2 linked regions of the Saccharomyces cerevisiae S288C genome follow. Each later gene encodes a partner of the first gene's protein in a complex. Each region holds a gene or a part of one and is shown on either strand. Other genes may lie near its edges. A codon is read from its position in the direction of its gene.

Region 1 (5,109 bases):
CACCATTTCCTGACCAGTGTACTTTATGGCGTCACAGCAAAACAAACACGCTTTTCTTTCAAAGAATAGAATCTTTCACAATCCCGATAATGTGTCCTCATCAAAATCTCGAAACCTTATGGATATCACAAACACGACAAACACCATGAATGGCTCTAGACCTTCGTCTATGAAGAGTTCATTGGCTCTTCCACCCGTAAAGGATTCCTTCCCATCTGTATCTCGATCTGCATCATTAAACATCAACATGAGCAAAATTAAGGACTTAAAAGACCGCCAAGACAAAATAAGGTTCCAAAGACATACTCTCAGGACTCAATTGATTGAGTGCGAAAGAGAAATCAAAACCATCAAGTTTCGAGATCTCAATAAGTCCAGGTTTGAACTTTATAAGAAAAAATCCAAACAAGCAAAGTATCTCAAACAGGTTAGAGATTTGACGCAAAATCTGAACTCCAAGGACGGTGAACGCGCTGATTTAATTAAGAAGAACAAATCCGCTTTGGCAACCTTGCAGGCTGAACTCGACCAGAATCTGATCTTGAAAAGGCAGGAATCTCAAGAATTGTACAATAATAAGCTTATCTTTTGGGAAAATGAGCTGCAAATAATGGAAAATGTCGAGCCTGACCACGAAATCACAGAGGAAATATCTCAGTTGAAGAAAACGCTGCAAGAGCTCAACATAAATTGGGCGAATTTACAGAAGCAAAACTTGGAAAGACAAGTAAACCACGAATCACAATTGAGGAAGGATTTTATTGCATTCAAAGAAGCTAAGTTAAAATCCATGGAAAATTTGACAAACAAACATCGTGAATTACTTGATCAGATAGCCACTCTACAATCGGAAAGTGAGAAGTTACACAAGGAGATCATGGATATAGATAGACAAGCTGAATATTCGGAACAAAACATCTCAGAAATAAATGAAAATATAAAACAATTGGAATTGGCAAACAACCCACTAATAAGCAAATCCTTACAAAACTCGCAAGATTTGGAACATTTACAAAACCAAATGGAAAATTTGAAAGAAATGGCCTCTAAACAGGAAAAATTTTATAATGATACCTATAACACTGTGGAAAAAGAACTCCTGCGGAGTAGGAGACTTGAAAACTCTATTATTGAACAAAAAGGCACGATGCGCTGTTACGCTTACGTGATGGAGCAAAATTTGCCTGAGAACCTTTTATTTGATTACGAAAATGGCGTAATAACCCAAGGTCTAAGCGAACATGTTTACAAATTTAATAGGGTGATACCGCATTTAAAAGTTTCTGAAGATAAATTTTTCACTCAAGAGTATAGCGTTTACCATGATATGTGCCTGAACCAAAAAAAAAATTTCAACTTAATATCTCTAAGCACCACTCCACATGGCTCATTGAGAGAGTCTCTAATAAAATTTTTGGCCGAAAAGGATACAATATATCAAAAACAATATGTGATCACCTTACAGTTTGTATTTTTATCAGATGACGAATTTTCTCAGGACATGCTCTTGGATTATTCCCACAATGATAAAGATAGCATAAAGTTGAAATTTGAAAAACACTCAATTTCTTTGGATTCCAAACTTGTCATCATAGAAAATGGACTCGAAGATTTGCCCTTAAATTTTAGTTGTGATGAACACCCAAATTTACCTCATTCTGGGATGGGTATAATCAAGGTGCAGTTTTTTCCTCGAGATTCAAAAAGCGATGGCAACAATGACCCCGTACCGGTGGACTTTTATTTTATCGAGTTAAATAATCTGAAGTCCATTGAACAGTTTGATAAAAGCATCTTTAAGAAGGAATCATGCGAGACCCCTATTGCACTTGTTCTGAAAAAACTAATTTCTGATACTAAATCCTTTTTCTTGCTAAACTTGAACGATTCAAAAAATGTCAATAAATTATTAACGATTTCAGAAGAAGTTCAAACACAACTTTGTAAAAGAAAGAAAAAGCTCACTTAAGCTCGGTCACATTATCGTCTTTCTTAACACAGCCATTTAGATATGAAACAAATAAGGTTTATAATCTTTCAATATAATTACAACATACCGCATACACACACTTTTTATACATCAATCTTCCGTTAAGATTCCTTTAATTAACCAATTTAATTCATGCCTTGTACCAACGTTTCTTTCATCCAAAGGCGTGAAAGTCGGCTTTTCATTTAAGAAGTCCGGCAAGTCGTCAATATTGCTCTTCATATCTACTAGTTCATCATCGTTAACTAGCCCTAAATTAGTTAACGCATAGTATGAACCTGAAGGTTCAACCAAATTCGGAAATATAGATAACGAATCATATATGTCTTCATTCGTTAATGATATCGTTCTGTTTTCATGTAACTCCTCATTAACTGCTTCGCCAGCCTTTGTAATGCTGCTCATTGATATGTCGCCAATATCGTCCTTGCTACTGTTATTGCCGTTATTAATACTTTTGGCTTCATCGGCACATTCATCCTCATTTTTATCATCATCTAACTGCTTAATTTTGGCATCGCGTTTATCAGCAGCCATTTCTGATACGGATTTATAAAGCCCACTCTCATTCAAATCATAATAATCTGAATATTTCTTCCTTCTATAACGAACTGTATCAATAGTAAACTCTATTATATTTTTTAGATATTGATCTAGGGCCAATGATATAAGCTCTACGCAACGTGCGTCCACTGTGCCGACTAACCCATGTTCTCTTGCTATACCAACCATTCTTAAGTAAAACGAATCCGTGTCTGGTAAAGAATGGCTTTCGCTCGCTAAAGGAACGTTGAATCCATTCATTATATCTTGTGACCATTCCAGCGGCGTTTTTAAATTATTGCTCTTGACACGCTTCAAACTTTCTGGATTGGTTACAATGGGAATTTTGGGTATATTATTTAATCTGGCTTGAAATACAGAGCAAAAAATGAAGCCTCTTTTGCCGGCCTCTTTCGTGATCATTTTAAGTCTATTTCGATCATTTAGAGGTAACGACATGACAATTTTTTTATAGACTTCAATTTGAGAGTTATGCTTATTGATTCTTTTTAGTTTATTGTTTGGATTGTTGCTTCCATTGCCAAATCCCCAAGAACTCTCATTACCGTTTCTCCCAAGAGGGTTTTCACGTAATGAATTAGCAAAAATCCCTAATAAAAGTTGGTTATGAAGTCGTACTAAACTATGGTGATGATTTGTATTTGATTTTTCTAAGCTTGCAGCGCTTGGTGAAAATACCAGCTCTAATTCATTAGAAAGTTCCTTTCTGGATAACTTCCCTAAAATGAAAAGACTGATGATCTGAGCATATTTCGTCCAGCTTTCTTTTCCCAATAGTGAGGTTAATTCTTCGATCATGGCACCCAAATCAATTCTCTGATTTGGTCCCTGAGGCTCCGCAGTTTCATTGTTACCATTGTTAGGCTCGGTATGATTACTGACGGCAGGACTACCAATTAGGCCCGGCTTCATATATGCATTCGTGGAAGCTGGCGAAGCAGCTGGATAAGTTGGCTGCAGAGGTTTAGGTGCTGGCGATTGTATAGCTGACATGATAGAAGAAATCAAAACTACTGGGCTTGTTTTCCCTATATTTTTATTGAATTTTTATTACCACTTATAGCTCAAAATTTATACTGTGGGAAAAATCACGTGCGAGAAAGTAAGCCCTATCCAATGATGATAACGAACAGACGAATGAAAAGAGCAACGATACTTTGTTAATCTGTTGTAAGTTCGATGTTCAAGGCACAAGTAGACAGAGACAATTTCGCGTTGCACCTACTTCTATCCTGAATTTTATCTTTTTTATTTTAACAAATTTATGTCACATCGTAACTTCAAGTTTCACTTTTTTTGTTCAAAATCGCAACCTGATAATGAAGAAAAAATGGGCGGGAATTACAGCTCGTGTTGAGTGATGATAATAAGAACGTATCTTTTTTTATTCCGTTATCTATATAATGTACATACCTAAGTAGTTAACACATTATCATTGCTATCATGACGTATTTTTAATGTTACAGTGGGAGAAACGTGTCAGCTTTTCTGCTTCAGCGTTCTATGAATCCGTCTATATTTTTTAAGTAATCAGTGTCCCATGAATGCGAATTAGAGTCGTAACTGTTATTTCCATTGTGGAATGGAGTCCTGTCCTATTGTCCTGTTGAAAAAATATTCGAACCAGCAGAAGTATCTTTTCTCTCGTTATTACGAAGGCTAAGCTGTAATAATAAATCATGTATTTCGGATTCATAATTGTCCCGCTGCATGTCCTTTTCTATTTGCAAATTGGTATATTTCAGCTCTAAATCGGATAGTCTTTGCTTCAATGTTTGTATTTCAAAGTTTTTCAAATCCTCCTCCTGATACAGCCGTTCCCTAGAAGTGGCCAGTTCAGCCTCATGACTGATCGTTTGATCAAGGACCTTTTTCAAACTCTTGTACTTCTGACCTAATGAATAATAATTTTCAAAGAGTGTCTTAGATTTCTTCAACTCGTTGACCAGTTCTGCTCTCATTTCCTCGTATGCTTGCTTATAAGTTTGCTCATTCCTGTGGAATTGCTCACGCTGCTCTCTAACATCCTCACACAAATCTTCCAGGTCTCTACTGTTCAAGTCCATTTGTGCAAAAAGATCAAAATATGCCTTTTTATACTCTCTATTCTTGTGGCAAGCATCTTCGTCCCGGACATAGTAATTGTCTATTTCATCACGTTTTGTTAAGGGAGATGGAAATTTGCCTGGTATATCTTTAACCGATAACTTATAGGGCGATCTTCTAACCTCATTAACTCCATCCTTGTTAAATAATTTCGAGAGCAAAGGGTCGTCTTCCTGAGGTGGTATAAAGGGTATCTGCGAATTGGAAAGCTCATTTATAGTTCTCCTTTTTGTGTGTAGTCTGTGACCAAATGTATCCGTAGGTTCGTTACGAAGTGGTTCTCTCGGTACTATCGGAGCAGGACTTCGTAAAGATCGTATTCTCTCTTTGCTGTGGTGGTCACCGTTAACAATTGAGTTAAAGCCGTTCTCGTTGTACTCTGGGAGTAACTCGTACTTCCTATGGAGCGTTGAATCCAGACCAGACCACGAATTTGACCTCGATAAGTT
Region 2 (4,222 bases), on another chromosome or scaffold:
ACAGGAATAGCAGTGGAAATGGGAACTCTTATAAAAGTAATGATTCGCTAACATATAATTGCGGCAAAACTTTAAGTGGAAAGGACATATACAATTATGGATTGATCATATTAAACCGAATTAATCCTGACAATTTTTCTATGGGCATTGTTCCCAATAGTGTCGTAAATAAAAGAAAAGTATTTAATGCAGAAGAGGATACACTTAACCCACTAGAGTGCATGGGGGTAGAGGTGAAAGATGAATTGGTCATTATTAAGAACTTGAAGCATGAGGTCTATGGTATATGGATTCATACAGTTAGTGATAGACAAAATATCTACGAACTAATAAAATATCTTCTGGAAAATGAGCCAAAAGATTCTTTTGCTTGAGCACAGAGGTGAGATGCCCAAGTGAGAATTTTTTTTAAATAATGATGTACTTTAATACAATATATATATATATATATATATATATATATATATATATATAAGGAATGATAACTCTATTTAAGTAGATTATGACATTGTAGTAGAAGAGGGCGTGCTACTTGCGCTCTGTTTCTTCTTAGTCATTCTTTTCTTTTTAGGAGCTGGTGTACCGCTCTCGCTTTTTTTTGCATTTTTTCTAGGTCGCTTAACCTTTGGTTTATCTAAATTATTATTATTATTATTATTGTTACTGGTGGCATTGTTACCACTCCGTTTATTTGCGTTTTTCATGGCTCCACCATTCTGTTGTTGCTCCAAGGCCTGCTGTTGTCTTTGAAGTAGCTGTTGCTGTGGAGTCAATGGTGCTGTCATCGATATTCTAGCGTTGAAGGGGGTTGGATTGATGTTTGCACTTAAAGCCTGCTGTTTTCTTTTTTCTTTATTTATTCTCCATTGTTCAATAAATTTCAGCCTGCTAAATTGATTATTATCGTTACCCATGGTAGATCCCACTGCAGCCGCAGCCGCTGCCGCTGCCAAAGCTACTTGATTGCCATTAGCCAAACTGTTATTCCTTGTATTTGATGCGGAATTCGAAGTTGAGGACGAAGCTCCACGTACCCCGTTGGAACTGGAGCTAGCAATCTCCATCGCATTCTTGGTTAACGAAACAGCAAACGTGGAGTTGGTTATCGTTGTTGTGCGTTCATTCATGATCAACATCAACTGTTCATAATTTGAACTATGTTGCGGAAATTCATCGCGTTCTTCGATATGCCCTACAACGCCCTTCGTGCCTTCTCTCGTAGACTCAGCACGATGTTCGTGAATGAAGGATTTTTTTTCACTATCCCAATGAGGTTCTGAAAAAGCTGTTTCCTCCAACATGTCTCGGTGCTCATATGGATTTAATGGCACACTTAGTGACAAGTTCCTCTTGGTAAGTGTTAAAATTTCAGATTCAAACTGTTGATAAATGCTATCAGAAAACCTGGCATTATCTGCATAAGACATCATGTCATAATACGTCGTCAAATCATTAGGCTTCAACAATGTTCGATATACTCTAGGTCGTTTGAAGGATGCCTTCTTATTTGCTGTGTTTGCGCCTGTATTTGCCACACCACTATTAGGTTCGGATGGTTGTTGAATCTTGGAATTGTCCTGTGTGCTATTATTATTTGAAGGGGAAGAAGAGCTGTTCAAATTAGGCTTGTTCTCTTTGGGGGTGACATCAACTGTATTAGTATGGTCATAAACCTGTAAAATAAGATTTCCTTCGTAAAATTGGATATTACAGTCCCTTAAGACTTCCATAATAGCATCAGGAATCCTTCCTCTTGCGACGTACTCTAAAAATTCTTTCAAAGTTTCGTTATTTTTGGTTAATATTAAACCGTCACTAGTCAGCTCGGGTTGCTTTTGCTGCTGTTGTAACCTGCTATTTGCAGGAGCGCAAATCTTATAATTATTCTCATAAATATGAAATTCAAAACTGTGTAAATATTGCTCATATTTTTTCAAAATTGAGTCTGCATCTTCCACAAAATTGTAAAGTCTTTTAGGTCTTTTGTTTAAGGTCATAAGCATTTGATAAAACTGAGCCTCATAGTTTTGGAGTGCTTGCTGTTTTCTCTGTTGTTCGAGTAGTCTTTGCTGTAGTAATAATCGTTGTCTTTGCTGCAATTGCTGTATTTGCTCCCTGGTTAAAGTCCTAGTACCTTCATTGGCATTACTATTACTGTTTGTCCTCATAACAGGATGATTTACATTTGCTACCGCTGGGTTCATAGGAGGTGGTACATTAACTGGACTGCCTGGCGAACCCATATTGGATGGTGTTGCGTTCACAGGAATACCAAATACATGGGGATCGTTTCCTGTCGGGCTATTGGCACTCATCCCTGAAATATATAGGCGCAAATTAACCGTAACTATTCCTTCCTAATCCTCTTGAAGGCTACTTTTCTCATTCTTTTATCTCTGCTGGTCGATCATCTTAACACTTCTTCATGATTAATGGTCGTCAGGTATCACGAGCGGGTAACAGAACTAAGCAGTTATAGCGATCCCAGTTTTACTTTAAAGATAGTTAGTTAGTTATTAATGGTGCGGATAACAAGAACTATTGTCACTCAGAATCTTATACAGGTATGGACATGGAACATTGGGTCATATACATAAGAAATAAATTATAAAGAAGGGTCGAATCAAACATAAGCGGAGAATAGCCAAATAAAAAAAAAAGATGAAAAGAAAGCTATGTAGCTTTCCACATGTCTTGCATACCAAGGATAGATGTGACAACACCGGATAGCGCAACATACTCTTCGTTGCTAGACAAGTACCCTAGGTTGTTGAGGACGATGAACGAATCTGCAGCATCCCAGAATAGTCTTCTTAACGCGGTGTACCTGTCTTGGTATGCCTTCCCTAGTACCTTCTTGTGATCCTCATGCTCATCGCCTTGGCTTTGTGATTTTGCCTTGACAAACGCAGCAATCTGGGCATGAGATGTTTGGATCTTACGAAGATCCATAGCCAGACCACTTAGGAGGCCGAACAGCCAACACCAATTGGACCAGCGAGGTATTTTCTTACCGGTAAGAACGGTTACAGGAATCACTTTCAAAATTCTCAAAAGATTGACTTGATCTAACGACAAATATGCAGCAAAGAAGATGTTTTTCAAAACATTGCAGACTCTAACGACGTTGTCGCTGGCCAACTTGTTATCGTAGAATTTAGCAGCTGCCTGCAAGTGGTTTAAAGGCTTCAGAAACCTCAGAAATTTTCTGACTGTGGTAAATTGAGCTTGTAATTGCCTGGCCAAGAGAGATGAGTTCTGTACTGCTAAAAATCTTGCTAAATACTGCAGTAATCTGAGAACCTTTTCTCTGCCAGCTGAGCCATCTAGAAATTTGACGAATCTCGTCACGGAGGGATGATATACCAGTGTATCACAGACCATATTGATTATACTATTACTTGATGAAGTCTTTGAAGTAGTAGATGGAGACAACGGTTTTTCAGTTGTTGGAGTCACTTCCCTTTTATATCTATAAATGATATACCCATCGCTTCGGGTTCTCCGAGATAAATGCCGACGCGTAGTGAAAATCGCAATGGAATTGATGCCAACTTTGTTCTTGGTATTATATTTTTACAATAGAAGGGCAAGCATAGAAAGGATGGGTTACTATGACATTGATGATGTCCTAGCAGATGGGACAGAGTTTCCTTGTAAATTTCAATATGATATTCCTGGTCTTGGTTATTTGGAAAACAACCCAGGACGACCCATAACGAAAAACACTAAACTAAGCCTGCCACTATGGTTAGCAAGAATCCTTGCAATTGTGGGTGGTGACGAAGCCTTGGTAGATGAAGAACCTGTACCTTTTGTGGAACTCCTGCCACCAGATATGTTTTCTACGAAAGTTATGAACGCTATAAAGACCGATCCGGTGGCTCTGGACTTGCATTCCATAAATTCGCATTTCTTCAGTCTAGCCATAAAATGGATAATGTTGTTTAGCGAAAAAGAACTGGCCAATGTCGTTAGTGAGCTACTTTTGCAACGTGCCCAAGAACTTAATCATCATGCTAGTAGTTTATCGATTGATCTCAATGCAGACTCGACCGGAAAAAATTCAGCGAACACTAATATAGCAACTAGCACATTTTTACTGAAACTAGAAGAAATGGAGAAGGAGATATATAAAAAGTCTCATGAATCTTATAAGGACACGAAAAGGTGGATGTTTAAAAAATAACACATCTTTTTCTTTAGAAATACACTATATAAA

What was found.
Region 2: the proteins of HFI1 (region 1) and SPT20 are in contact, whole or in part, in a cryo-EM structure (PDB 6T9I), measured with the Saccharomyces cerevisiae proteins. Residues at the interface, in NP_015069.1 of Saccharomyces cerevisiae: Cys211 (codon at 2,917), Ser212 (codon at 2,914), Val213 (codon at 2,911), Phe214 (codon at 2,908), Ala216 (codon at 2,902), Arg217 (codon at 2,899), Asn220 (codon at 2,890), Asp378 (codon at 2,416), Asp379 (codon at 2,413), Asp382 (codon at 2,404), Glu397 (codon at 2,359), Glu398 (codon at 2,356), Leu399 (codon at 2,353), Asn402 (codon at 2,344), Arg403 (codon at 2,341), Thr404 (codon at 2,338), Ile405 (codon at 2,335), Ser406 (codon at 2,332), Leu407 (codon at 2,329), Thr408 (codon at 2,326), Glu410 (codon at 2,320), Asp411 (codon at 2,317), Ile412 (codon at 2,314), Asp414 (codon at 2,308), Ser415 (codon at 2,305), Ile418 (codon at 2,296); in NP_014493.1 of Saccharomyces cerevisiae: Asp124 (codon at 1,946), Leu127 (codon at 1,937), Ile141 (codon at 1,895), Tyr146 (codon at 1,880), Lys180 (codon at 1,778), Leu183 (codon at 1,769), Glu184 (codon at 1,766), Val186 (codon at 1,760), Ala187 (codon at 1,757), Arg188 (codon at 1,754), Glu197 (codon at 1,727), Val215 (codon at 1,673), Asp217 (codon at 1,667), Asn220 (codon at 1,658), Thr221 (codon at 1,655), Val222 (codon at 1,652), Arg277 (codon at 1,487), Pro278 (codon at 1,484), Arg279 (codon at 1,481), Val280 (codon at 1,478), Tyr281 (codon at 1,475), Arg282 (codon at 1,472), Thr283 (codon at 1,469), Tyr293 (codon at 1,439), Tyr294 (codon at 1,436), Met296 (codon at 1,430), Met297 (codon at 1,427), Ser298 (codon at 1,424), Ala300 (codon at 1,418), Asp301 (codon at 1,415).

The regions. Positions count from the first base shown.
Region 1 is NC_001148.4:67,923-73,031, reverse strand, and holds HFI1 (Hfi1p), read right to left. Parts: upstream 3,548-5,109; coding exon 2,081-3,547; downstream 1-2,080. Other genes in the region: VIK1 (Vik1p), read left to right, coding at 26-1,969; BBP1 (Bbp1p), read right to left, coding at 4,150-5,109. UniProt on the Saccharomyces cerevisiae protein: Component of the transcription coactivator SAGA complex. SAGA acts as a general cofactor required for essentially all RNA polymerase II transcription. At the promoters, SAGA is required for transcription pre-initiation complex (PIC) recruitment.
Region 2 is NC_001147.6:45,260-49,481, forward strand, and holds SPT20 (Spt20p), read right to left. Parts: upstream 2,316-4,222; coding exon 501-2,315; downstream 1-500. Other genes in the region: DCP1 (Dcp1p), read left to right, coding at 1-374; PEX11 (Pex11p), read right to left, coding at 2,674-3,384; DNA replication protein PSF3, read left to right, coding at 3,605-4,189. UniProt on the Saccharomyces cerevisiae protein: Component of the transcription coactivator SAGA complex. SAGA acts as a general cofactor required for essentially all RNA polymerase II transcription. At the promoters, SAGA is required for transcription pre-initiation complex (PIC) recruitment.